Kluyveromyces lactis: one gene and its partners. The protein of the gene in region 1 interacts with the protein of each later gene in a pairwise test. Links are inferred from orthologs where the notes say so. Each region holds a gene or a part of one and is shown in the gene's direction. Other genes may lie near its edges.

Region 1 (4,188 bases):
ACATATATATAAGGGCCAATACACAAATGTATAATGATGAAAAAAGACTGAACTCCAATTAGTTGCAGATTCTCCAACATTTTCGCAGTCGAAAGAAATATTGCAATAAGTACCGATACGTGTGAATTCAAACGTTTAATAAGCCGATACCAATGAGTGCTGTTGCCCACGACGCTGCTTGTATTTTCTGCAAGATTATCAAAGGTATGTAAACCTCAAATTGTTAGGTGAGAACAAATATCTGTTTCTCCCCTTGGTTTTTGCATGCTCGCAACCACCCAAGTGGCTTAGACTAGCTCTTTGATCTTATGAACTATAATACTAACAGATTCCACTACTGGTGTACTTTCAGGTGAAATCCCTTCTTTCAAATTGGTTGAAACTCAGTATTCTTACTCGTTCCTTGACATCCAACCAACTGAAGAGAACCACATTCTTATCATTCCAAAGCACCACGGTGGGAAATTGCACAACATCCCAGATGAATACTTAGCTGACCTGTTGCCAGTTACTAAGAAGTTAGTGAAAGCCATTGGCTTCGACCAAGATGGTCCTGATGGTCCAGGGTACAATGTCCTTCAAAACAACGGTAGAATAGCCCATCAAGAAGTAGATCACGTGCATTTCCATTTGATCCCAAAGAAAACAAAGGATGCTGGATTAATCGTAGGTTGGCCTGCACAGGAAACTGATTTTGCTAAGCTGAGTGAAATGCATAAAAAGTTGCTTGCCAAACTAGAAACCTAAGCGCGATCTTTTTCGCAATGAAAGAGACCAAGATATGACGAAGATGACGAAGCTGACGAAGCTGACGAAGCTAACGAAGATGATCATTGAGATCGTCTCATATATATTATAACTACATATTTCCTACTGTACCAATTTCTACTTACCATTCACATAAGGAATCCAATAGCTCATTCGCATTGTGGGAGGGATCTTCTTAGAGAGGAGATGAAAAAATATTGTTACCCGGCCGAAATTTCACATATCCGGTGGCAAATTCTGAAATCTCTAGATTATAAAGAGGGAAGCGATTTATTATATATAAGTATTGCACACTATTTTCGGTGATCCTTGAAGGTTATTTTCAGGATTAACACCAGTAAGTGAACGCTAGATTAAATAAAGCACTCACCAGGGATTTACAATAATTGTCTCCTTTAATTGAATCATTGAATCACCAGATTAGGGGTTAGATCAAGTTATTTAATTTTTGTTTTATCTTCCGTCTTTTGGTTGAAATAAGAAGAAATAAGGTCCAATTTCAGAAGTTAATCAAGAAACCTGCATATCCTGTTTACCAAGAGCTTAATTACATCGTGGATCCTACCAGAAGGAATTACAGTATCTTTAAAACAACTTTTCACCTCAGTTATTAAGAGAACATGCCAGAAGAACATAAGAAATTGTTAGATAGTTCTGGCACTGCAGCTGACGCAGATGATGCTACCGCCACTGCCATCTTGAGAAGAAAGAAGAAGCAAAACATGTTACTGGTCGATGATGCAGTTAACGATGACAATTCTATCATTGCTATCAATTCTAACACTATGGATCTTTTACAATTGTTCCGTGGTGACACCGTTTTAGTCAAGGGTAAGAAGAGAAAGGACACCGTTTTGATTGTTATGATTGATGACGAACTGGAAGATGGTGTCTGTAGAGTAAACCGTGTTATTCGTAACAACTTGAGAATAAGACTCGGTGATTTGGTCACTATCCATCCATGTACCGATATCAAGTATGCTTCCAGAATCTCAGTGTTGCCAATCGCTGACACCATCGAGGGGTTGACTGGTAATCTATTTGATGTGTACTTGAAGCCATACTTTGTCGAAGCTTATAGACCGGTTAGAAAAGGTGACCACTTTATCGTTAGAGGTGGTATGAGACAAGTAGAGTTCAAGGTCGTAGACGTTGAGCCTGAAGAGTACGGTGTTGTTGCCCAAGATACTGTCATTCATAGTGAAGGTGAGCCAATTAACAGAGAAGATGAAGAAAATAACATCAATGAAGTCGGTTATGATGATATTGGTGGTTGTCGTAAGCAAATGGCTCAAATTAGAGAATTGGTCGAATTGCCATTGAGACACCCACAACTATTTAAGGCCATTGGTATCAAACCTCCGAAGGGTATTTTGATGTACGGTCCTCCAGGTACCGGTAAAACTCTAATGGCCAGAGCTGTGGCTAACGAGACAGGTGCATTTTTCTTCTTAATCAATGGTCCAGAAGTCATGTCCAAGATGGCTGGTGAATCTGAATCCAACTTGAGAAAGGCTTTCGAAGAAGCAGAAAAGAATGCTCCGGCCATTATTTTTATCGATGAAATTGATTCTATTGCACCAAAGCGTGACAAGACTAACGGTGAAGTGGAAAGAAGAGTCGTTTCTCAATTATTGACTCTAATGGATGGTATGAAGGCTAGATCCAACATCGTTGTCATTGCAGCCACCAATAGACCCAATTCTATCGATCCTGCTTTGAGAAGATTCGGTAGATTTGATAGAGAAGTCGATATTGGTGTTCCTGACGTTACTGGTAGATTGGAAGTCTTACGTATTCACACTAAAAATATGAAGTTGGCTGACGACGTCGACTTAGAAAAGTTGGCCGCTGAAACCCATGGTTATGTTGGTGCTGATATTGCCTCCCTATGTTCTGAAGCTGCTATGCAACAAATTCGTGAAAAGATGGACCTAATTGACTTAGATGAAGACGAAATTGACGCCGAAGTGTTGGACTCATTAGGAGTTACTATGGACAACTTCAGATTTGCATTGGGTAACTCCAACCCATCCGCATTGCGTGAAACCGTTGTAGAATCTGTTAATGTCACATGGGATGATATCGGTGGCTTGGATGAAATTAAGGATGAATTGAAGGAAACCGTCGAATATCCAGTCTTGCATCCAGATCAATACACCAAGTTTGGTTTGTCACCATCGAAGGGTGTGTTGTTCTACGGTCCTCCTGGTACTGGTAAGACTTTGTTAGCTAAGGCTGTCGCCACCGAAGTGTCTGCTAATTTCATTTCGGTCAAGGGTCCTGAGTTATTAAGTATGTGGTACGGTGAGTCCGAATCCAATATCCGTGATATTTTCGACAAAGCCAGAGCTGCAGCCCCAACTGTCGTTTTCTTAGATGAATTGGACTCCATTGCTAAGGCTCGTGGTGGTTCTTTAGGTGATGCAGGTGGTGCATCTGACAGAGTGGTTAACCAATTATTGACCGAAATGGATGGTATGAACGCCAAGAAGAACGTTTTCGTTATTGGTGCCACTAACAGACCAGATCAAATCGATCCAGCTATTTTAAGACCTGGTAGATTGGATCAATTGATCTACGTTCCATTACCAGACGAAACAGGAAGATTATCTATTCTATCAGCCCAATTAAGAAATACACCATTAGAACCAGGACTAGATCTAAAGACCATCGCTCAAGCTACACAGGGATTCTCTGGTGCAGATTTATTATATATCGTACAGAGAGCTGCGAAGTTTGCCATTAAAGATTCCATCGAGGCACAAAAACGTGCAGAAGTTGTCAAGAAAGAAGAAGGTGCAGAAGAAACCGAGAAGGTCAAGACAGAAGAAGACGTTGAAATGTCAGACGTTCAACAAGAGGATCCAGTTCCATTCATTACCAAAGAACACTTCACTGAAGCTATGAAAACAGCCAAGCGTTCTGTTACAGATACTGAGCTTCGTCGTTACGAAGCTTATGCTCAACAGATGAAGGCATCCAGAGGACAATTCGGCAACTTCTCGTTTGGTGATGATTCAGGTGCTGCCGCAACTCAAGCTGGTGCTGAGGGTTCTGGTGCAGCTTTCGGAGATGCCGCTGGTGAAGATGACGATGATTTGTACAGTTAGATACATAACCTTCACAAAACATAACAGGTCTTTTTCGATGCAAAATGAAATGTAATAAATTACAATACAGAGGAATACTTGTTGCTAAATTTACGTAGAGATTAAATATTATCTATTAATCACGTGTAACAGGATATTTGAGATAACTGGTTTTAATATGGTTAAAAGATTCATCAGTCTTAGCTATCCCTTCCAATTTTGGGTCTTGAATTCATCTTTAATTCGACCTAGTAGTGCAATGGTATATTTTCGCCAGGCAAAGCAATACAGGGTCTCCGAAGTAAAACCAAATTATATTAATGAATAC
Region 2 (4,054 bases), about 2.0 Mb from region 1:
GCTCCATCAAATATATTCATCAATTATGTTTGATCGAATGGCTACAGTCAAAACATGTCGATGTTACAAAACCTGGTGCAGGGATGGTATGTTCGATTTGTAATCATCCAATCGCGTTCCAAACTTTGTATGATGAATCAATGCCAGAGAAGATCCCACTTCTACTTCTTCTGAAACATAGCGTTTTCAAAATCTTTGGCAAATTAAATCACTATTTCAAATTCACATTGATTGCGTTCCTTTTCTTCATTGGAATTCCCCTGTCCTGGAATATCTGGGGGAAGCTATATACGGCTACTGTGGATGATTTTTCATTTCCTTCAAATAACAAATGGTATATCAATTTGATTTATGGCTTTGAAAGAAACATACCAAAAAATCCAACAACTACGGATATTTTATATCAACTAGTGATAAATTACAGATTTTCGTTGTTACAAATTCTGATGGTTTTGATCGTGCATGCTATCGCATATTTACAATATGATATGGTAGTCAGAGAGCCAATTTTCAATAAGATGATCTTGCATAAGATTGGACCAAGATTTTCAAAACAAGAGCTGGCCATGCAGTCATTAAGAGAAAGATTTCCAAATATGGATCCAAATGATATAAGCATGCTCATAAATGCCCTCAATAGACAACGACAAGACGATCCAAATGAAGATGATACTTCAGAAGACGAACAAGAACAGAACAATTTCATCGTAAACGAAAATAATGATGAGCCTCAGCTTGCCAACTAACTATAATCCCCCATTTAAATATTTACGATATTGATAATCTTCATATTGAAACATTGCATCAGCCTTCACTCCAGTTCGAAATAAACTTCTATATACAATATAATTCCCTCGTTGTCCCATCAAATCATTCACTTGCTTTAGTAAAACATGCTAGCCCATTAGATTCTCAAAGATGAATTTGGTATTACCCGGCTTATAATGGAAATTGAAATTTGAAGAAGGAAATTTCAACATGGGCGCAGACAATCAGTATATACATCGTCGACTGATCTCGTTTCACAACTAAGTACAACAGGTTAACAATATTTAATCTTTGCTACAATTGTATAGCTGTTGAAGTTGAATAATTATATCATAGAAACTGAATCTTCAACTTGAGTTTTCCGCATTAGATCCCTGCATTACTCTTTTCTTCTGATCACAATATCATATTTCTTCTGCAACATATTCATATCATTACCAATTAGCTGAGTTATTAATCGACTGTACTTTTAATTCACAATCCATTATGGAAAGACACTTTGCACAAAGAGAACTCGATGGGCGGTTGGATGCTCAACTCGGACGACCTCAGCCTGTTGAAGGAGAAGTACAAGAAGATGGAATAAATGCTCAACCAGCGGTTGTACTAGAGAATGAAGATGGTCAACCTACGGCTATCTTGAATTTAAATCTTGATTACAAATATTTACCGAGCTACTTTTCCTTAGTCTTTTCTGTCATTGGTGGATATCTTTTCATTTCATACGCTTTAGCCACACTTGTCGGATATCTGTTGAATTTCATTTATTTTAGAGTTGTGATTATAATGCTGAATGGAGTAATAGTGTCAGCAGAGAGGTTAAATATCCCAGAATACAATCAAAAGCTTATAGAAACTTTTTCTTTGGTATCCTACGTTGAAAATTGGATTAATGGGACAGTTTTAATGCCAATAGTATCGTACTATCAGGGATACATGAAAGGCACAGCAAAACATACGATGCTGGTACGAATGTTGGCGCCAGCCAGTACATATGCGACTTTCATAGTTCTTTGTTGCTGTATACCAGAACTGTTATCTAGAGGGCATTCCAAGAAGCTACCTCTAAAGAATTCTTTGAAAAGAACGATTTTCAAGTTTTCCTATATCATCAAGTGCACATTGAAAGTGCTAGGGTTGTTTACACTTGAACTTGCCGGATTTCCGATTTTAGCGGGGTTTTTGATTGATGTGTCACTGATCTCACCGCTATTATTACCACAGAGCAGCTTGACTTTCGTACCGAGTTTTTGTTCCTTTTGGCCGCCTATGACATTTATTATTTATTGGGCGATTGGTACTGTTTATATGTATCATTTTGCTCAATATGTCGGCATGGTAAGACAATATATTATCAGACCGGGTGTTCTTTTCTTCATAAGATCACCAGATGATCCTAATATTAAGCTATTACAGGATTCTTTGATATACCCAATGAAACTTCAACTCTCCAGACTTGCATTGTCGATGGCAATCTATACAGCATTCATTTTAGTAGGTTTTGGATTTCATACGAGACTTTTGTTTCCTTACATTTTACATTCGGAACTTTTACCTATGAAGCATGGATTGTCAACTCTCATAAAACCAAATTCTATGTTTTCTATTGCAGTCATTGCTGGAACGTATCTCATTCTCTCGAAGAATAGAGTTATTGATGCTTATGTTAGACAATATTGGGTCTTTGTATTCAATATATGCTGCAGAAAACTAAGACTTTCCTCTTTCATCTTAGGAAAAGATTCACCAACTGAGAGAGGACATGTTATTTATAGGAACTTTTACTATAAATGGTTCGTCCCAAACAAGGCAAAACTGTCCAACCTAGAATTATACTCTCATCCAAAATCGCTCGATGAAACCTATACTCTTTTCAAAACTATTCCTGATGTTCACGCATATTTTGTCCCCGATGGCACCATGATGCGCGTACCTGCGAGCGACATAATATCAAAAAAATATGCACAATTGTTGTTCGTCCCAGTTACTAAGGATGACAAACTTCTAAAGCCATTGGATATCGAAAAAATCAAAGAAAGACAGAAACGAAATGCCGGAGAATTTGGCTACCTAGAAAAACAGCCCACGGAATTTGATGAATATAAGGTAGTTTATGTCCCTCCGCATTTTACTTTCACTTATTCGCTGTTAATTGTCTTCATATGGATCTTTGCTTCCCTTTTGTTTACTGCTGTGTTATTAATCTCAAATTTTGCTGGGCTTCCCATTATCACTGGATTGCAATTATTGTTGAATGCGGTTATCCCCCCAGCAATGAAATTTCAAAATGAACTCTATGAAAGTGTAAAACCATTAAATCTTCTTTCCGTTTCTTCTGGTATGATACTTTTGTCTCTCGCTTTGTCATCCTACCACGCACATCTATTAAATAATATCCATCTAAATGACAGAATATTGGAGGTTAATGCCGAACACAATGGGGATGTTCCAAATAACGGTCCAAACGACGATAATCATCAGCATATAGTTCACAATGATGATAATATTCCCGAAAATGATGAAAATCCAGTAGCCAATGAATTTAGAGTACCGGAAATTGCTGAAGGTGATGTTTGGAACTTGATCAAAGGCTTTGTAACAATGGTGTATCCAGTCTTTACATTCTACTTTATGCCAATCATTTTCAAGTTGAATATCAATTATCATTCGGTCTTCATATTCACCTACTTCAAAGATTTCTACTGGAAAGGCGACGTTCTCGAAAACACAAGCCCTGATATATCGTTTGTTCCATTCCTTTCGAACCTCGCATCAAAATCAGAATACAGCGGCTATTCAGCTTACTCATTAATAGCTGCTCTATTGTTTTGTCAAGTAGCAGCAGTGGCGTACATCGCGGTACAGTGCAGTTTGAAGCGGAATAAAACATTAGGATTCAGAAGATTACTCATTAGGGTCACGGATATATGCTTTGTGTACCTCGTTGCAATGATTGCGGTACCTTTTGCTCTGCAATATAGTTTTTCTATGTTTGAATTCCTTACCCACAAACAAGTTTACACCTCTTCATGGGCACCATTTGTTTATTTCATTTTCATACAGCCTTCTGTCTCGGCAGATCATTCCCTTATGACTACATTTCAAAAGGCATTCTACTACGTTGATGTAGTGACGATTTCCTCGGCGTTCCTAACTGTGAGCTCAATTTTATCCAAGTCGCTTTACAATTCTTTATCTCAAAGTGTGAGAGACGAAGTGTATGCAAGAGGAAGGATACTAAAAAACTTTGAAGAATAGTTTGATCAGTCAAGATGTCTTTATAGAT
Region 3 (3,507 bases), about 530 kb from region 1:
GATCCCTCAGGCCATGGGTATGAAAGTTGAGATGGTTGAGGGGAAAGGCCCTCATTTCCCGGAACCGTTGAGAACTGAAGAGCAACTACAAAAGGTATTGGATTATAAGGTCAACGTTTTAGACGAACTAGAATGGGCCTTTAAAGCTATCACTATGACTCGTACTAAATTGGACGGCCAAGTGCCTTTGTTAGGTTTCTGTGGTGCTCCATGGACGTTATTGGTTTATATGACCGAGGGTGGTGGATCGCGTTTATTCAGATTCGCTAAGCAATGGTTAAACGAATCGCCAGAATCATCGCATAAATTATTACAGAAGATTACTGACGTTGCGGTCGAATTCTTGTGCCAACAGGTAGTTGCTGGTTGTCAGATGCTTCAAGTGTTTGAAAGTTGGGGTGGCGAGTTAGGCTCTCGTGATTTCGACGAGTTCTCTTTACCGTACCTAAAGCAAATTGCGGAAAGAGTTCCACCAAGGTTAAAGCAGCTGGGTATCGAAGAACGTGTTCCAATGGTAGTATTCGCCAAGGGATCATGGTACGCACTAGACAAACTATGTGACAGTGGCTATAATGCAGTTTCTTTAGATTGGTCATGGGACCCTGCAGAGGCAGTAAAGATCAACAGTGACCGTGTTACCTTACAGGGTAATTTGGACCCTGGTGTAATTTACGGTTCGGATGAGATTATTACCAAGAGAGTCACTGAAATGGTTCATGGTTTCGGCGGAGGTAAGCAACATTACATTGTAAACTTTGGACATGGTACCCATCCATTCATGGATCCAGAGAAGATCAAATTCTTTTTGCAGGAATGTCACAGAGTCGGTAGTCAATAAATCTATCAAAAATCGGAAATAGACTACTACCTTTCTGCATCCAATTTATTTCATGTATATACCATTTCATTCTGTTTAATACATACTGATGTCAGTAAATCCATTTTTTTACCCTGCTTAGTTGATCAAGTCTGGTCATGTATGGTTTTTTACTTCAATGTACTTTATTTATAGTGAAACCTTGATATTTCAAAGTTTGTTACTTCAATAAATCTTCTTCATTCATGAAAACTTGCCATCACACAGTGAAACGTTTTAAAAGAGGTGTTAAAGAGCTCAAAGAAGTGTGGATTCCCTGAACTGATGTCCGACAGAATACAAAAGAATGACTTGTACGTCTATGATTTGTCTGATGAGATCCTTTCTTCTTTGCAGTTGATATCTTTCGACTCTGATATGAATGAGGTTAAAGTGGTCCATTCTGATGTAGAAATCGAAAACAAAAAGGAAATTGAGGTTAAAACAGTACCTTCATGTGCTTCATGTGGTATTAATGCATTTCCTAATGATAATTCTGATCCTCGATATCATTTTAAAACTGATTTACACAAATTCAACATAAAAAGAAGAGTTTACGGTTTATCTCCAGTCGATGAGCAAGAGTTTAGGCAGTTGATTAAAAGTAAAGAAACAGCCACTGCAGAAGATTCTGACAGTGATTCTTTATCTGGTGAGGATGATGAGACAGATGAAATAGAAGAAGATGATATTTCTACAAGAGGAGGAGAGCAGTTGACAGCAATTCTCGAGCATGAACTCCAGGATTTGATGATCAATGACAACCAAACGGGACCCGTTTCTCATTTAAACACACAATCTCCTTTAATATTCATGCATTCTGCTGAATTATCGGGACCAAGAATTTTCGGGGCTTATAAAGTACTATTTAATGCAGAGGAATTGAAATGCCCATTGAAATCAATTCATCATTGGAAAAATCAGGATAAAACCGAGCATTTCTCTGTGTTGTTCATGATTGGCGGCGGTCATTTTGCAGGAGCAGTGGTATCGCATCAAAAGATACCAACTAATGGTAATAACAAAAATAAATATATCCTATCTCTACAAGAGCAGTCAGTACAGTTTTTGGAACAGAAAACGTTCCATCGATACACTACCAGAAGAAAGCAAGGTGGCTCCCAATCAGCAAATGACAATGCCAAGGGAAAGGCAAATTCCGCTGGTTCAACTCTACGTAGATATAATGAAGCAGCGTTGAAAGCAGACATACAAGCATTGTTAAAGGATTGGGAACCCTACATTGCAAAGTGTGACAATATTTTCATTAGAGCCAATAGTGTCACAGATAGAAAGATCTTCTTAGATAATACTTGCATCTCTAAAACTGATGTCAAACTAAAGTCTTTCCCATTCACTACGATGCGCCCATCCTCAAATGAACTAAGGCGTGCCTGGGTTCAATTGACGTATTTATCGATAACGGACAAACCTCAACCAAAAGTCAAAAAATTGCAAACTGATCATTCAAAGAACAAACCTAGGAAACTTACAAATTCTCCAACACCAGTGCCTCTGAAGACAGAAGATGAACAACATACCGAAAAGCTAATCTCATTTATTCAAAAGAGTAAGGCGCCGCTGTTAATATCGTATATCAAGAAAAACAATCTTGATGTCAATATTACTTTGCAACCCTCTTCTGAATATCATCACACACCAACAATGCTACATTATGCATCATCTCACGGCTTGAAACACATGGTATTGGTGTTGTTGTCCACTTTAAAAGCAGATCCTACAATTACTAACAATGTTGGAAAAACAGCGTGGGATCTGGCGAGTGACACCATGGTCAAGGAAACCTTCCAGTTGGCGCGTTATAATTTAGGAGAAAGCTTCACGGATTGGGAGCAAAGTCATGTTAGTGGAGCATTATCGGCTGAACAGATAGATGAAAGGCACAAGAAGATAGCACTCGAAGAAGAGAAAGAAAAGAAAGACTTGATAGAAAAAGAATTGCAGGCGGCAAAGGAAAGAATCAAAGAGGAAAAAGATGCTAAAAGAGGTCCCGGAATGAAACTTGGCGCCGCATCCTCTAACGTTCAAATAAATTTGAACTCTTTAACTGATGATCAACGGATGAGATTGATGAGAGAGCAGCGAGCTCGTGCAGCTGAAGCGAGAATGAAAAGATTTTCTGGTAACTAGATGCAAGTATAAATAGTAACATATATAACTTTTACACGGAGTCTTTTACCAAAGCATAAGTGATGTACTGTCGTGCATCATCAAAGACGTTATTCATAGCTTCGTCAATTAAGTCATTAGTCTTTTGTGGATCAATATGTTTGTATCCCAATAGGCATTTTCTCATGATTTCTGACTTTGTTCCATTTCGAAGTATCTCCTCCTTCTCTATAATTTTTTGGGCTTCTAGAGCATTGATCCAAATTGAAGCAGGAGGATTGTTTGATGGAGTCGCAGCAGCCTGGTATTCTGGCTGGGCGTTGGCTTCATCAGTACCCGTTATCTCTTCTTCTTCAAGCACTTCTACTTCACCAGAACAATTACAAATTAAGTCGTGGGTATTGGATAAAGTGGACAAATTAATGGTAAACAAGTCCTTCAACTCTTCCTGCTGAAAAAGATCATCATCATTTTTTGATTGATCTGTGGCACTGTCCAAGAACTTTTTAGAAAGCGCTATT
Region 4 (3,057 bases), about 130 kb from region 1:
GAATCCCACTTGGCTTACGAACGATTATCAGAAGCGTATTTTGGACAAGCTATGGTATATATCACCTACAGGTGGTCCCTTCAGCGGCGGAAAGCATCAACTACCACATCTAGCGGCCACATACGCTGCTATAAATTCCATCGCTCTATGTCACAATCTCGATGATAACAGAGAAATCAATAAAAAGGCTATATACGACTGGCTCATTTCTCTTAAAACACCTAGCGGCGCGTTCATGACTGCACGCCCAGTCGGCGAACAAGATGTGAGAGGCGTATACACTGCATTATCTATAGCGTCACTACTAGGCATTGTGGACTCTAAACTAACAAGTAATGTGACGGAATTCTTGACAAGATGCCAATCTTACGAGGGTGGTTTCGGAGGCTGCCCAAATGATGAAGCACATGGTGGCTACACTTTTTGTGCAGTAGCCAGCTTGGCAATGTTGAATGCCTTAGATAAGGTCAATATCGATGCGTTATTGTCATGGTGTAGTTCTCGTCAAACTAAAGAGGAGAAAGGTTTAAACGGAAGAAGCAATAAACTTACAGATGGTTGCTACAGTTTTTGGGTTGGCGGAACTGCTGCAATCTTAGAAGCATACGGGTATGGAGTATGCATAGATAAAGACGCCCTAAAACAATATATATTGAAATGCTGTCAATCGGAAGAAAGCCCTGGCCTAAGAGATAAACCGGGAACACAAGCGGACTTTTATCATACCAATTATGTGTTGGCTGGTTTATCAATTTGCGAACATTCTTTTATGGTCCGAAACAATTCACCCTTCGATTTTGTTGCAACTCCACTTGTGCCAGAACCGGAAGTTGAGCCTATTCATCCCATATTCGGACTGGCTATCCTTGACGTTAACAATTTCATTAATAGACGCGGAGAACCATCCATGTCTAATCTGTCAATGAAAGTGTAATGAATTCACGATTAACTCTGATGGCATGTGTAATACTATAAAACTATATACTCATTATGATACCTAAATTAACATGACTCCATAGGTGAAGAAAATAACTTTCGGAATATAATAAAATTGAGAGTAGCAATCATCGGGAATTATACTCTAACTATTAAATGCCTTAGTTGTACTATTTAGCCGTGGCGCTTTTCTTTGTGAATTTCCACTCACGATGATCTATCATTGTCTGTCCATTAAATTTGACATTTAAAAAACAATATCAGACATCCTTTAAAAGTTGTCAATGGTATCCATAGGGTAAATCTTCAGTAGAAGAAGAGAAAGCTTCACCTATATTAGAGGCTGTACTCTTCTATAGAAACGAATCTGCAACTGTTGAACATGGTATTCAACATTTTCAGTAGGCCGTCTCAGCAGAACCAACCTGCAGTGAGTTTTACCCCTCTCCCAGGATCATTCCCTGAAGACAATGATAATACAGAACAACCTGAACAGGAAACAATACTGAATGCTGGCGTTCCTAGAATATTAAAAATGTGCTTATACATTCCACTAACATTACTATATTACTTGCTCAATATCCTGTTAACTTCGGTGGAAGTTTTCAAACCAATAGGCAAGATCTTTCATTTCTACACAAGAAAAGACAATCATTTCAGCGATGATTTGGGTAACCAATTCGTAAATGTTATAGATGTCCTTTCTTCATCAGCCGATACCAACGAACAGAGTGGTTATACATTCGATACGTTGTACAATGTAGAGAATGGAATGTTGAGCAAAAATATGATTAAGGGTGGTTACACTGATATCTTACGTCGGTGTTCCAGCGATGGTAAATTTGCAATAATATCTTTCTTCAATCCGATACTATACGATCCATTCGAGTACGTAAGAAAGATTTTAACTTCCAACGAGTTTGTAGAATGTGTCACCAAATATAATTGCGTTGTATGGTTTTGCGATGTTACAACACCACAAGGGCTACAGACTGCTAATTCTTTAAAGATTAGACAGTTTCCATTTTTAGGTGCCCTTGGACCCCAACGGAATAATAAAATGAAATTGCTTGCCAGAGTGGAGGGCCAACTATTTGATTATGATTTCTCTCATTTTGAGGCCAAATTAGCCTCATATTATTCAGTATTAGTTGAGATTAGAAGGCAAAGACAGTACCAGGAAATGCAACGGTTATTAAGAGAACAACAAGATTCGAGATACCAAGAATCGCTAGAAAGGGACCAGGAAAGGGATAGGGTAATCGAGGAAAGCCAACTTAAAAAGAAATGGTTGGCTTGGAGAAAATCTGTACTAGTGCCAGAACCATCGGGTGACGGTTGCAGAGTAAGCATCAGACTAGAAAATGAAAGAATTATTAGAAGATTTGATGCTTCATTAACAATTGAGGAGATTTACGCATACGTTGCATTATACAGAGCAGGTTTATTATCTGACACTAGCAGCGAGAATGATATTACACAAGAAAAACCAAATTACGAGTATCAGTATGACTTTCAACTATATTCACCTGTGCCCAGAACCCGTTTGGAGCCAACCACAGTGATCAAGGAAGAACGGACAATTTATCCATCGGGAACAATTGTCGTGGAGTTCGAATGAAAACCAAATTACTGGTTTGCAGTTTGACATCTATATATGTATATATAACATGTACTTTATAATGCTACACGATTGCGGATTTATGATTCATGGGTGATAATAGGTTGGGAATATTTCATCAGTTTTTCTTACCACCCTTCTTCTTCTTCTTCTTTTTAATTAATCCAGACATACTTGTTTTTACAACATTAACATAATCCTTCCAAAATTTATCAAGAGTCTTTGAATCTACCAAAGTGAAGAATTTCGTTCGTTTCCCATCATATGGCATGCTCACTAGCACGATAAGTCTGTATGGTTTTGTATCTGGTTGAGCGTTTTGTTTTAAACGTTTGGATTCTGACATCTTTGAGATATCACCAGTAGGATTGGAAGTAACATCCAATTCATTAGGTTTTTGAACGTGATGACTGCCCAAGTCTCTTTTCAAGCTTACTTTGAGCTGATTGTGCGATACCTTGGACATTCTGAAAGCTTTTTCAAGCTTAACAAAAAATTCG
Region 5 (3,265 bases), on another chromosome or scaffold:
ATGTTGAGCACCGTAGTTGAAAGTAAGTCTGTCAAGATCTAAAAGTACATGTTGGATGGAATACAAAAAAGGTACCATAAACTGACAACAAAATTCGTAATGCTGTGAATGCTTTCTTGAACCAGTACCTGGAGTGAAAAAGCAACAGGAAAATGTCAAAGAAAGGAAGAATGCGCTCACAACGTAAACTAAAAGGTACGTGATCCATTTACGGGAGACTAATTGGCCATATGATGCGCTTATCCAGCTCGTATATCCAAGGTAATTGACATGAAGATAGTTTTTCCTGGTAATAATTAGCATCAACATTGCAACATAGAAAGATAATATTTTTACTGGCCATAACAGTAATTTCTGAGATTTCGACAACTCCCATTGTGTCGTAATGGTTGTAATTAAACCGACAAGTACCGCTGTTTTGAAGAGTAAACCCCTGGCGAAATTATTAAACCTGCTCTTGCATACCCCACTGAATATCCGATGGTAAGTAAAACGAGAATCACGCAGTTGCGGTGCAACCGGTCCTAAACTCTGCACGTAAGACATCAATGAAAACAAACCAATCAAAGATGAACACAGGTAAAAGTACAGCCTGTATAGCAATAAGCTGAGTAATTTTAGATGCTTAAAACAGACAAAGGTCAATTGGACTTTAGGACAATCAATTACCTTCCGAGTTACTTATATTATTTATTTGTATATCATCTCAAGCATTTTAAGTTCTTAACAGGTTGTGATCTAGAGATCAGGCGTCATAAAAAAATTAGATATTCGGGTAACCCTCTTATGCCAATGTCATAGTTGATTTGCATGGTAACTCGAAACTAAAGACAATCACCTCCTTGTCAGTGAGGTCAGTCTCAACATATAGACGCTAAACGCGAACCTGATGATATCGTAAACAGTTGTTACATGTAAATAAGTAAATCAACTAAATATGTGTCATATTCTCTTTCTCTTTCTTGTAACAATGGTCTCGTGTCAACTTTAACGCTTAAAAGTTGATATTCTTGTCCAAAAGATATATACAAATATATACAAGGTCACTCATAGAGTACTGAAAATATTAGAATGATTTGCGTCGCCACTTTCATGACCAATGTAAGTACTTCTATGACAGCACAGGTACTGCCAATCCTATAATGATAATGTTAAGTTTCATTGCCATCCTTTCAAAACTCCTTTCAATTTACATGGCTCTCGCGTCTTTTAATACCGATAGAAACAGATCTTTTTCAAGTTTACGTGATTTAAGCTACTGCTCTGTTTACTTTTTTCAAATTTACTGTATTGATAAACTAAAACTTAAACAAACTAGGTCAAACAGTTAACGATTTTGCGCTGTTGAATTGGACAGGATACCACCTTGCTTGTGTCTTTAACTGGTAGAAGATTTTGTGGATTGGTATATTAGTGCGACTCGCATCAATTTTCCTTTTTGCAGTTTGTTAGATATGGAGGATACAGGAAGTGGCAAGAATGGTAAAGATGACATTCAAACGAAGTTAGATAAGAAGCTAGGACCAGAATATATTTCAAAGAGAGTAGGATTTGGATCCAGTAGAGTAGCATATATCGAAGGCTGGAAAGCAATCAATCTAGCAAACCAGATTTTTGGGTATGACGGATGGTCTACGGAGGTTAAAAATGTCACTATAGATTTCCTTGACGAAAGGCAAGGTCGATTTAGTATTGGATGCACCGCTATTGTTCGTGTTTCGTTAGCCGATGGAACGTTCAGAGAGGATATTGGGTATGGAACCGTGGAAAATGAACGGAGGAAAGCCAGCGCTTTCGAGCGTGCCAAGAAATCTGCAGTGACAGATGCGTTGAAAAGATCGTTAAGAGGGTTCGGAAACGCTCTTGGGAATTGTCTTTATGATAAGGATTTCTTGGCTAAGATTGATAAAGTGAAGTTTGATCCCCCAGATTTTGACGAGGGAAACCTTTTCAGACCTGCAGATGAATTAAGTGAGATGTCAAGATCAAATATGGTTGGAGATGCGCATACTGAGGGACCTTCTTTGAAGAAAAGAAGCCTAACAAATGAGGATAGAAATGCCGTACCTTCTGCACCTGCACAGCAAACGTACCGGTCAAATAATCATACAACACAGAAAAGAGCACCAAAAGCACAAGCAGTAACAGCATCCGCATCACCGAATGAAGAAACTAGCAATCAACAGCAGGACCCTGATGATTTACTTGATGATTCTTTCATGTTTAGCGACGAAATACAAGATGACGATTTACTCAATATGAATACGACAACAAATAACAAAAATTCTACTAATAGCAGTACAACCACAACCACAATATCAGATGAAGCTACTGGTATTATCTCTCCTGTGACATTTGTTACTGCTAAAGCTGCCACATCACTGCAACATAAAGATCCCATCCCGTCAGGATCTATGTTTGACCCTAAATTTCAAGCCCAGTCCATAAGACATACCGTTGACCAGTCAGTATCTACACCAGTCAGAGCTACTATTTTAAAAGAAAAGGGCTTGGACAGTGATAGGTCCAGTATCTACTCCAAGTTCGCTCCTAAGGGCAAGGAACTGTCTGGCACAACGACAAATTCTGAACCATATGTTGCTGCTCCCCAAACGAGCGCAACAGAAAGTAACAGAAGTACCCCAACAAGATCAAATGCACAACTAGCAGGACCGCAACCTGCTCCGCAACTGCAAGGTCCTCAGCGCACCCAACTTGGAAGACCTCGTATGCTGCAACAGCCAAACAGAAGAAATGTGTCATAAAGTGTCTTAGAGAATAACTAAAGTCATCGAATTACCTGCCAAGATGAAAAATCATAGAATTTAAGAAATGATAAATGTTACGGTTTTGCCACATCTCAAGTTTGTAACCTACAGGTGTTATTTAAATATCCAACCGCTATATGTATAATTAGTTACTCATGCCTAATCTATATTCACTTGCACCCTACGCATTTTTTATTCCACAACATGAGATCACACTCTACGAAATGAAAATAATTGCGAGCGTTAGGCATAAGATCAATTGAGGATAACTATTTAATAAGATTTCACTATCAAAGGGCAGATATAGACAATTAATCGCCTAAGAACACGTCTCTGTATCACGTTCCAGCTTTCCAGAACGTTAATTTTTGAAGGCTACCTTTTCACTTTGTGTATAACAGCCATTCTGTTTTGAGACCTTGGTTTTTCTTTCAAACAATAGGAAGAGCAAATCCCATCGCAAGAGGTTTTTAGTTTGCCATCATCAACACAAAAGA
Region 6 (3,470 bases), on another chromosome or scaffold:
TTTACAGGGGAATAAACCAGACAACTTCCCATCCACATGGCAATTCAACTTCCATTTCGACGTAACAAAGGAGACCGTGAATTCGGAATCGTTAGAACTATTAAAGAAATCCGGTGTCATCTTGGAGAGACATCAACAGAACGGTGTTGATTTCGACGAGTTTGCTCAGTTGATGATGGATTCCGGGTTATTGTTGAACGATGAGGTCACGTGGATCAGTTACCATGCAGCATACGATTACGGGTTCTTAATCAACAGGCTCATGAACACAAACATGCCCAACAACAAAGAGGACTTCGAATGGTGGGTTCAGAAATACATACCAACGTCGTACGATTTGAACCTAATTAACAAGTTAGTTCATGAGGTAACGCAACAACACCCACATCCACCACCATTACATCTATTACAAAGTCAACAGCAACAGCAACAAAACCAACAACAGCAATATACACTAGAACTACTGGCTGACGAGTTGGGGATTCCGATCTTCCCATTGTTCAGCAGCGCAGCGGGACAAAGTCTCTTGGCACTATTGGCATACACCCAACTCGGTAAATTGTCTTTGTACAAACTACGCAATGGAACAGATTTCAGTTACTACAAGAACCTGATCTACGGAATCACACAGGAGTAATATATGTGATTTTTATGTGCCAGCCTTTCATATAGAGTATCATCAATAATGCATTTATGTATGTGAATATATATATATACATACACAATCATTCTTAAAATAGGGTATAAAAGGTGGCTGACTAGCCACCGTCACTGAACTGAACTGATGCTGACCAGTGCGAAACCCACAGGTTGCAAGAGCGCAACCTGTGTACTTCATTCACCTGGCATCTCGTGAGGCATGATTTCATAAGATGATTGACGAGTTTTCCATTAAAAAATTTTGAAAATTGACTCTTTACATATAATCACTAGATGCAAACATGCACATACTTTGCTTGTGAGGGGCGTTTCTTGTTGTTAGGGTGTCTATTTGGTTCGCTTATCGGTTTTCATGCATTCATTAGAAACCAGACTTTAATCTTTAGCGATAAGTTTGAAGCGTGAGGCACATATACGGTGTTCGTAGTGCTGAAATTTCCCGTGAGTCTGGAAAAAAGCACCCATAGGAAATTAATACTTTTTTGTTATTGTATTCTAGTATACCCTATACTTTCCTGCTTGAATATCCACCGTTAATACACTTGGATTAAAACGTTGTTAGAGCGTTATTAGAGCGTGCTTTTCCCTTCTTTTTTTTTTTTTTGTTTGACAGTTTTATTTTTAATTCATTCAAAGGTCTTTCTGATTGACAACGATTGACTGTATTGCATTCATTTCATACACTTTAGCATTCCAATTTGATTTTTTGATACCCGCGATCGGTTTGAAATTGAGAGTTATCAAAGAATAGTTGAATTCTTTTACAAGAACCAGTGTGTTTTTTCCTGTTTAGATTAATTTGATACAATCACATTTGGTTTGGAAAATATGACCACTTACGATGTGAAAGAGATCGGATATGCGTTCCTAAGGACGTACTATGAACGTATGCATAATGATCCATCGAAATTGTCGTGTTTATATTCTACCACGGCGGAATTGACCCATGTGAATTATAATGAACCTATCAAGCATGACAAAGATTATTTAAACACCGTCAAGTTGATTGGTAAGGATAACATCAACAATTTCTTTACCAGAAACAGCAAGCGTGTACAGGATTTGAAGGTCAAGATTGATTCGTGTGATGTGCAATCTACTGGGTACGAGAGTTCTTCGATTCTGATATTGATATTAGGGGAGCTATGCTGGACGGATTCACCATCTTACAGATTTTGTCAGTGCTTTATCCTGGAACCAGCAGAGTATAACAGTAAAGTCTACGATTTGAAAAACGATATCATTCGTTTCATTCCTGACCTTGCTCCATTAGTGAACCCAGACCAGCCAGTATCACCACCATCTGCTGTTGTTGTTGAAGCTGAGAATGAGAAGCCAAATGTCAACGGGGACGCAGCTCCTGTTTCTGTTCCTGTATCTGTTTCTCCAGTAGTGGTAAAGGCAGCAGCGAAACCGGTTGAGATTGTCAAGCCAATTCCAACTGAGAAGCAACAGCCCTCTACTGCTCCAACGGAAACAAAAGTGGAACAACCCCAAGCCGTTTCAGTAAATAAAACTAAACCTAAGGAAAATGAGGCGATTGCGCCAGCTACTGCTCCTGCTGCTATTGCAGAAAAAGAAAAAGAAGACAAGGAAGACGAAGCACAAGCACAACCAAAAGAGCAAGCGACTTCAGCATCAGCCACCCCAACCTCAACGACAACCCGTTCTGAATCGGTGCCCCCACAAGAGGTTCCTGAAACAGAAGTCACCCCAAAGGCTGAACCAGTGAAAATGACTTGGGCAGGCAAACTCAACAAGACATCTAAACTAACTACAAACTACATCAAGGTAGATCTTCCACAAAAGAAGTCTAAAAGTCCACCTCCAAACGGATTCACCAAGTCAAACAAGAAAAGCAAGCAGCAATCGAAACCAATAGGCGACGTTATCATCCAAAACAGCAGCGGTTTCTACCCAGTATACGTGGGTAACACAAATGGGTTGACCGCATCCGAACTTGAAAGAGCTCTAATAAAAGAATACGGTGATGTCGTAAAAACCTCATTCCAAGATTCGTTCGCTGTGGTTGATTTCAGAGAAAAACCTGCAAGAGACGCTGCCATCGATGCTCAACATTTAAAAGTCGGTGAAAGAGTTATTAATTTAAACCCAAAGGGCGATAAAGCTTCTAAGTACAAAGCCAAGAACAACAGCAACAATAGTAATAGTAATTCTGGTAACACTAATCACAACACAAACGGCAACAGTTCACATAATTCCCCATCACCAGAACTCTCGTTAAACCAAGGTAATTCCACGCTTAAAAAGAGCTCAGTGAAATCCCGTAATGACAAATCAAAGAACTAATCTCATGTACTTTAATCGTAAACCCAAATCATCTCAAACCTAAATGAAAGGCGTGATAAAACCATATTATAAAAAAAAAAACCATAAAAAAAATTAACTAAAACGATGAAACTATGAGTCGGGGAAAACTTGTTAAATATATCCGTATGTAACCTATCCACATGTACATTTTATATATTTCCCTCTCACTATAAGCATATCACCGAAACATTATTGTTGTCTTCCCTTTTTGTTCCTTCTTTCTCTAAGTCACAACCCTTTGAAGTTGGTTCGAGCTTGATGAAATTTAAAGGAACAAAGATCTTCATGTGCACATCACAATGATAGAAAAGGTGATTGGCAGAAAGATCAGTGCTGAAGCCAAGGGGACAGGTGAGGAGATACAACTCTAGGGTCATAGAAACCATCAGCTATGTTAGTTCCTCCAGCGAATTTCGGGATTCCCGAGGAAGGTATCTATCGATGCAGTAAACTTGAGACCATTAACCTATCATTTTTGG
Region 7 (2,031 bases), on another chromosome or scaffold:
ATCCAATTTACTAACCATGGGCAGGTGGGGGAAGGAACTGAGGGAAAAGGCAATCAGAATACGATTGCCATCTCTTTGGCTGAGGCTAAGCTACGCATCTAACAGCTTCTAAAGTACCTCCAGTCTTGGATCGCTCAATGGCTACATCGTCTCATCTCGTCATCTTGTGACACACTTCTTAACGTTACTGCGAATGAAAAAAAGTAAAGAAAATAAGATTGTGCCATGAACCAAAAGAAAAGACCGCAAACTGCATACAAAAAGATTCAATACGCCACTTTCGAACAATCCCTGGCGCGGGATTCTAAGGGCTGTCCAGAGAAGAGCCTTAAATATTCCTGGAACAACCCATACACCTTCCTATTTCTTTTTCAAATGATCAGCTTCACCCAGTTAATACCGCAGCAATGAAAGAATATGGTCCTGCAGTTTCCATTTCTCGATGGAGCTTCCAGTAGAGGATGTAGCCATCACCTGCAAGGGCGACAAAATAGAAAACTGAAACTAAAATAAAAAGGAACGAGGTGGAAAACCCAAATTGGGCTAAGAGAAACGGTCTACGGAGGTTCTATTTCTTTTTTTATAAGAAAGATAGGGTAATAATCTCGGTGCTTTTAGTTTAATGGCACTTGAGAGAACGGGTTTAAGGTTCCAATATAGCCCAGACAGTTATAGCTTTATCGGAACAAACGAATGAGCGGTGGTGATAGCGTTCGGCGACAAAAATCCAATGCAACACGGACTGAAGCTCTATCCAAAAAACTGAAAGGAAAGTGCCCTCGTGATTTATATTTACAGGGCATTTGCGCGCTGTAGCACGCGTCTTATCTTTTTGCTGTACTTGGCAAAAGGAAACTTCCGGCTTCCGGCTAAGTGTAACCCGGCCATGGCCGGGTTACGATTAATCCTTTTGCCAAGTACAGCAAAACAAAATGGGCAGGAGTGAAAGATCACGTGCCTGTGGGTCGTTACCCTTCCCTCCCCTAACTTCTCATTTTCATGCTCTCAAAAGGAAGAAGGAAACTGCTTTTTGTTAGAGCTCTTTTCCATGTCAGTTGACAGTCGAATTTCAGGACTACAGTATTTTTTTTTTTTGGCCAGGAATTAGTTCAACAATACAAATTACCTTAACAAACAAAAGCTCAATCTATACTGCCGAGAGTTAGAAGAAGAAAAAGCGAGTCTTTAAACATTCATTGAATCCTGTTTCTCCATTCTTCAACGCCTATATATATAACCACAGTTTGAAATGTCAGAAGAACAAGAACAAAAGGTGGATGTTAAGCCAGAAACACATATTAACTTGAAGGTTTCGGATGGATCCAGTGAGATCTTCTTCAAGATCAAAAAGACCACTCCATTAAAAAGATTAATGGAGGCATTTGCTAAGAGACAAGGTAAAGAGATTGAATCCCTAAGATTCCTTTACGACGGTGTGCGTGTGTTACCAGATCAGACCCCTGAAGATTTGGACATGGAAGATAACGATATCATTGAAGCTCACAGAGAGCAAATTGGTGGTAGTTTGTAATTGGGAGTGTACTTTGCAGCAGTAAGTGGGATCAACTACAGCATTCCCATCCTTTTTTATCTTTCAATGTAACCTATCTAATGTTATAATAACTGACTATGTATCTGGAATATTAAAACTACTTTGGATGAACAACAAGAAAAGTGCCCGCAAGCTTATCTGCATTTCCCCAGGGAAAACAGTCGGTATGGAATTAGAAATGAAATCCGAATGGAAAGAAAAAAGAGATTGGGTATCAAATGGCAGGGCTTATAACAGACCTCCTGCAAATTACCACCCTTGTATTCCTATTTCGATTCGAAAAGCTAGGTTTGCTTCAAGTTTCGCGTTTTTAGGTCTTTTTTTTTTCAAGTCATTTTCCTTCCTAGTATGGTGAACATTCTTTTCAATTAGTATAACTGTTACAGTAAATGATTTTAGAAAGAATAATTTACCAGAAGTGGAAGAAATATTAGCTGTCTTGTTAATAGTTTTCTGCCACACTCGTTTTGAATTTGGTA

What was found.
Region 2: the proteins of CDC48 (region 1) and SSM4 interact in binary tests that used the Saccharomyces cerevisiae proteins (3 or more experiments, as listed by UniProt). The link is inferred for Kluyveromyces lactis from reciprocal best matches to the Saccharomyces cerevisiae genes CDC48 and SSM4.
Region 3: the proteins of CDC48 (region 1) and VMS1 interact in binary tests that used the Saccharomyces cerevisiae proteins (3 or more experiments, as listed by UniProt). The link is inferred for Kluyveromyces lactis from reciprocal best matches to the Saccharomyces cerevisiae genes CDC48 and VMS1.
Region 4: the proteins of CDC48 (region 1) and UBX3 interact in binary tests that used the Saccharomyces cerevisiae proteins (3 or more experiments, as listed by UniProt). The link is inferred for Kluyveromyces lactis from reciprocal best matches to the Saccharomyces cerevisiae genes CDC48 and UBX3.
Region 5: the proteins of CDC48 (region 1) and RAD52 interact in binary tests that used the Saccharomyces cerevisiae proteins (3 or more experiments, as listed by UniProt). The link is inferred for Kluyveromyces lactis from reciprocal best matches to the Saccharomyces cerevisiae genes CDC48 and RAD52.
Region 6: the proteins of CDC48 (region 1) and BRE5 interact in binary tests that used the Saccharomyces cerevisiae proteins (3 or more experiments, as listed by UniProt). The link is inferred for Kluyveromyces lactis from reciprocal best matches to the Saccharomyces cerevisiae genes CDC48 and BRE5.
Region 7: the proteins of CDC48 (region 1) and SMT3 interact in binary tests that used the Saccharomyces cerevisiae proteins (3 or more experiments, as listed by UniProt). The link is inferred for Kluyveromyces lactis from reciprocal best matches to the Saccharomyces cerevisiae genes CDC48 and SMT3.

The regions. Positions count from the first base shown.
Region 1 is NC_006042.1:553,099-557,286, reverse strand, and holds CDC48 (AAA family ATPase CDC48), read left to right. Parts: upstream 1-1,388; coding exon 1,389-3,881; downstream 3,882-4,188. Other genes in the region: HNT1 (adenosine 5'-monophosphoramidase), read left to right, coding at 153-204, 353-747. UniProt on the Saccharomyces cerevisiae protein: ATP-dependent chaperone which probably uses the energy provided by ATP hydrolysis to generate mechanical force to unfold substrate proteins, disassemble protein complexes, and disaggregate protein aggregates.
Region 2 is NC_006042.1:2,566,262-2,570,315, reverse strand, and holds SSM4 (E3 ubiquitin-protein ligase SSM4), read left to right. Parts: upstream 1-1,254; coding exon 1,255-4,026; downstream 4,027-4,054. Other genes in the region: KLLA0_F27709g (uncharacterized protein), read left to right, coding at 1-746. UniProt on the Saccharomyces cerevisiae protein: E3 ubiquitin-protein ligase which accepts ubiquitin specifically from endoplasmic reticulum-associated UBC6 and UBC7 E2 ligases, and transfers it to substrates promoting their degradation.
Region 3 is NC_006042.1:1,086,661-1,090,167, forward strand, and holds VMS1 (Vms1p), read left to right. Parts: upstream 1-1,141; coding exon 1,142-3,007; downstream 3,008-3,507. Other genes in the region: uroporphyrinogen decarboxylase HEM12, read left to right, coding at 1-838; DNA-dependent ATPase RDH54, read right to left, coding at 3,039-3,507. UniProt on the Saccharomyces cerevisiae protein: Endonuclease that cleaves polypeptidyl-tRNAs downstream of the ribosome-associated quality control (RQC) pathway to release incompletely synthesized polypeptides for degradation.
Region 4 is NC_006042.1:680,663-683,719, reverse strand, and holds UBX3 (clathrin-mediated endocytosis regulator UBX3), read left to right. Parts: upstream 1-1,318; coding exon 1,319-2,557; downstream 2,558-3,057. Other genes in the region: RAM1 (protein farnesyltransferase), read left to right, coding at 1-934; RNA-binding signal recognition particle subunit SRP14, read right to left, coding at 2,676-3,057.
Region 5 is NC_006038.1:140,959-144,223, forward strand, and holds RAD52 (recombinase RAD52), read left to right. Parts: upstream 1-1,454; coding exon 1,455-2,765; downstream 2,766-3,265. Other genes in the region: NDC1 (Ndc1p), read right to left, coding at 1-546; E3 ubiquitin-protein ligase TOM1, read left to right, coding at 3,265-3,265. UniProt on the Saccharomyces cerevisiae protein: Involved in DNA double-strand break (DSB) repair and recombination. Promotes the annealing of complementary single-stranded DNA and by stimulation of the RAD51 recombinase.
Region 6 is NC_006039.1:1,666,814-1,670,283, reverse strand, and holds BRE5 (Bre5p), read left to right. Parts: upstream 1-1,488; coding exon 1,489-2,970; downstream 2,971-3,470. Other genes in the region: CCR4-NOT core DEDD family RNase subunit POP2, read left to right, coding at 1-637; OCA4 (Oca4p), read left to right, coding at 3,383-3,470. UniProt on the Saccharomyces cerevisiae protein: Has a role in de-ubiquitination. In conjunction with UBP3, cleaves ubiquitin, leading to the subsequent mono-ubiquitination of sec23.
Region 7 is NC_006039.1:125,693-127,723, forward strand, and holds SMT3 (SUMO family protein SMT3), read left to right. Parts: upstream 1-1,249; coding exon 1,250-1,531; downstream 1,532-2,031. UniProt on the Saccharomyces cerevisiae protein: Not known; suppressor of MIF2 mutations.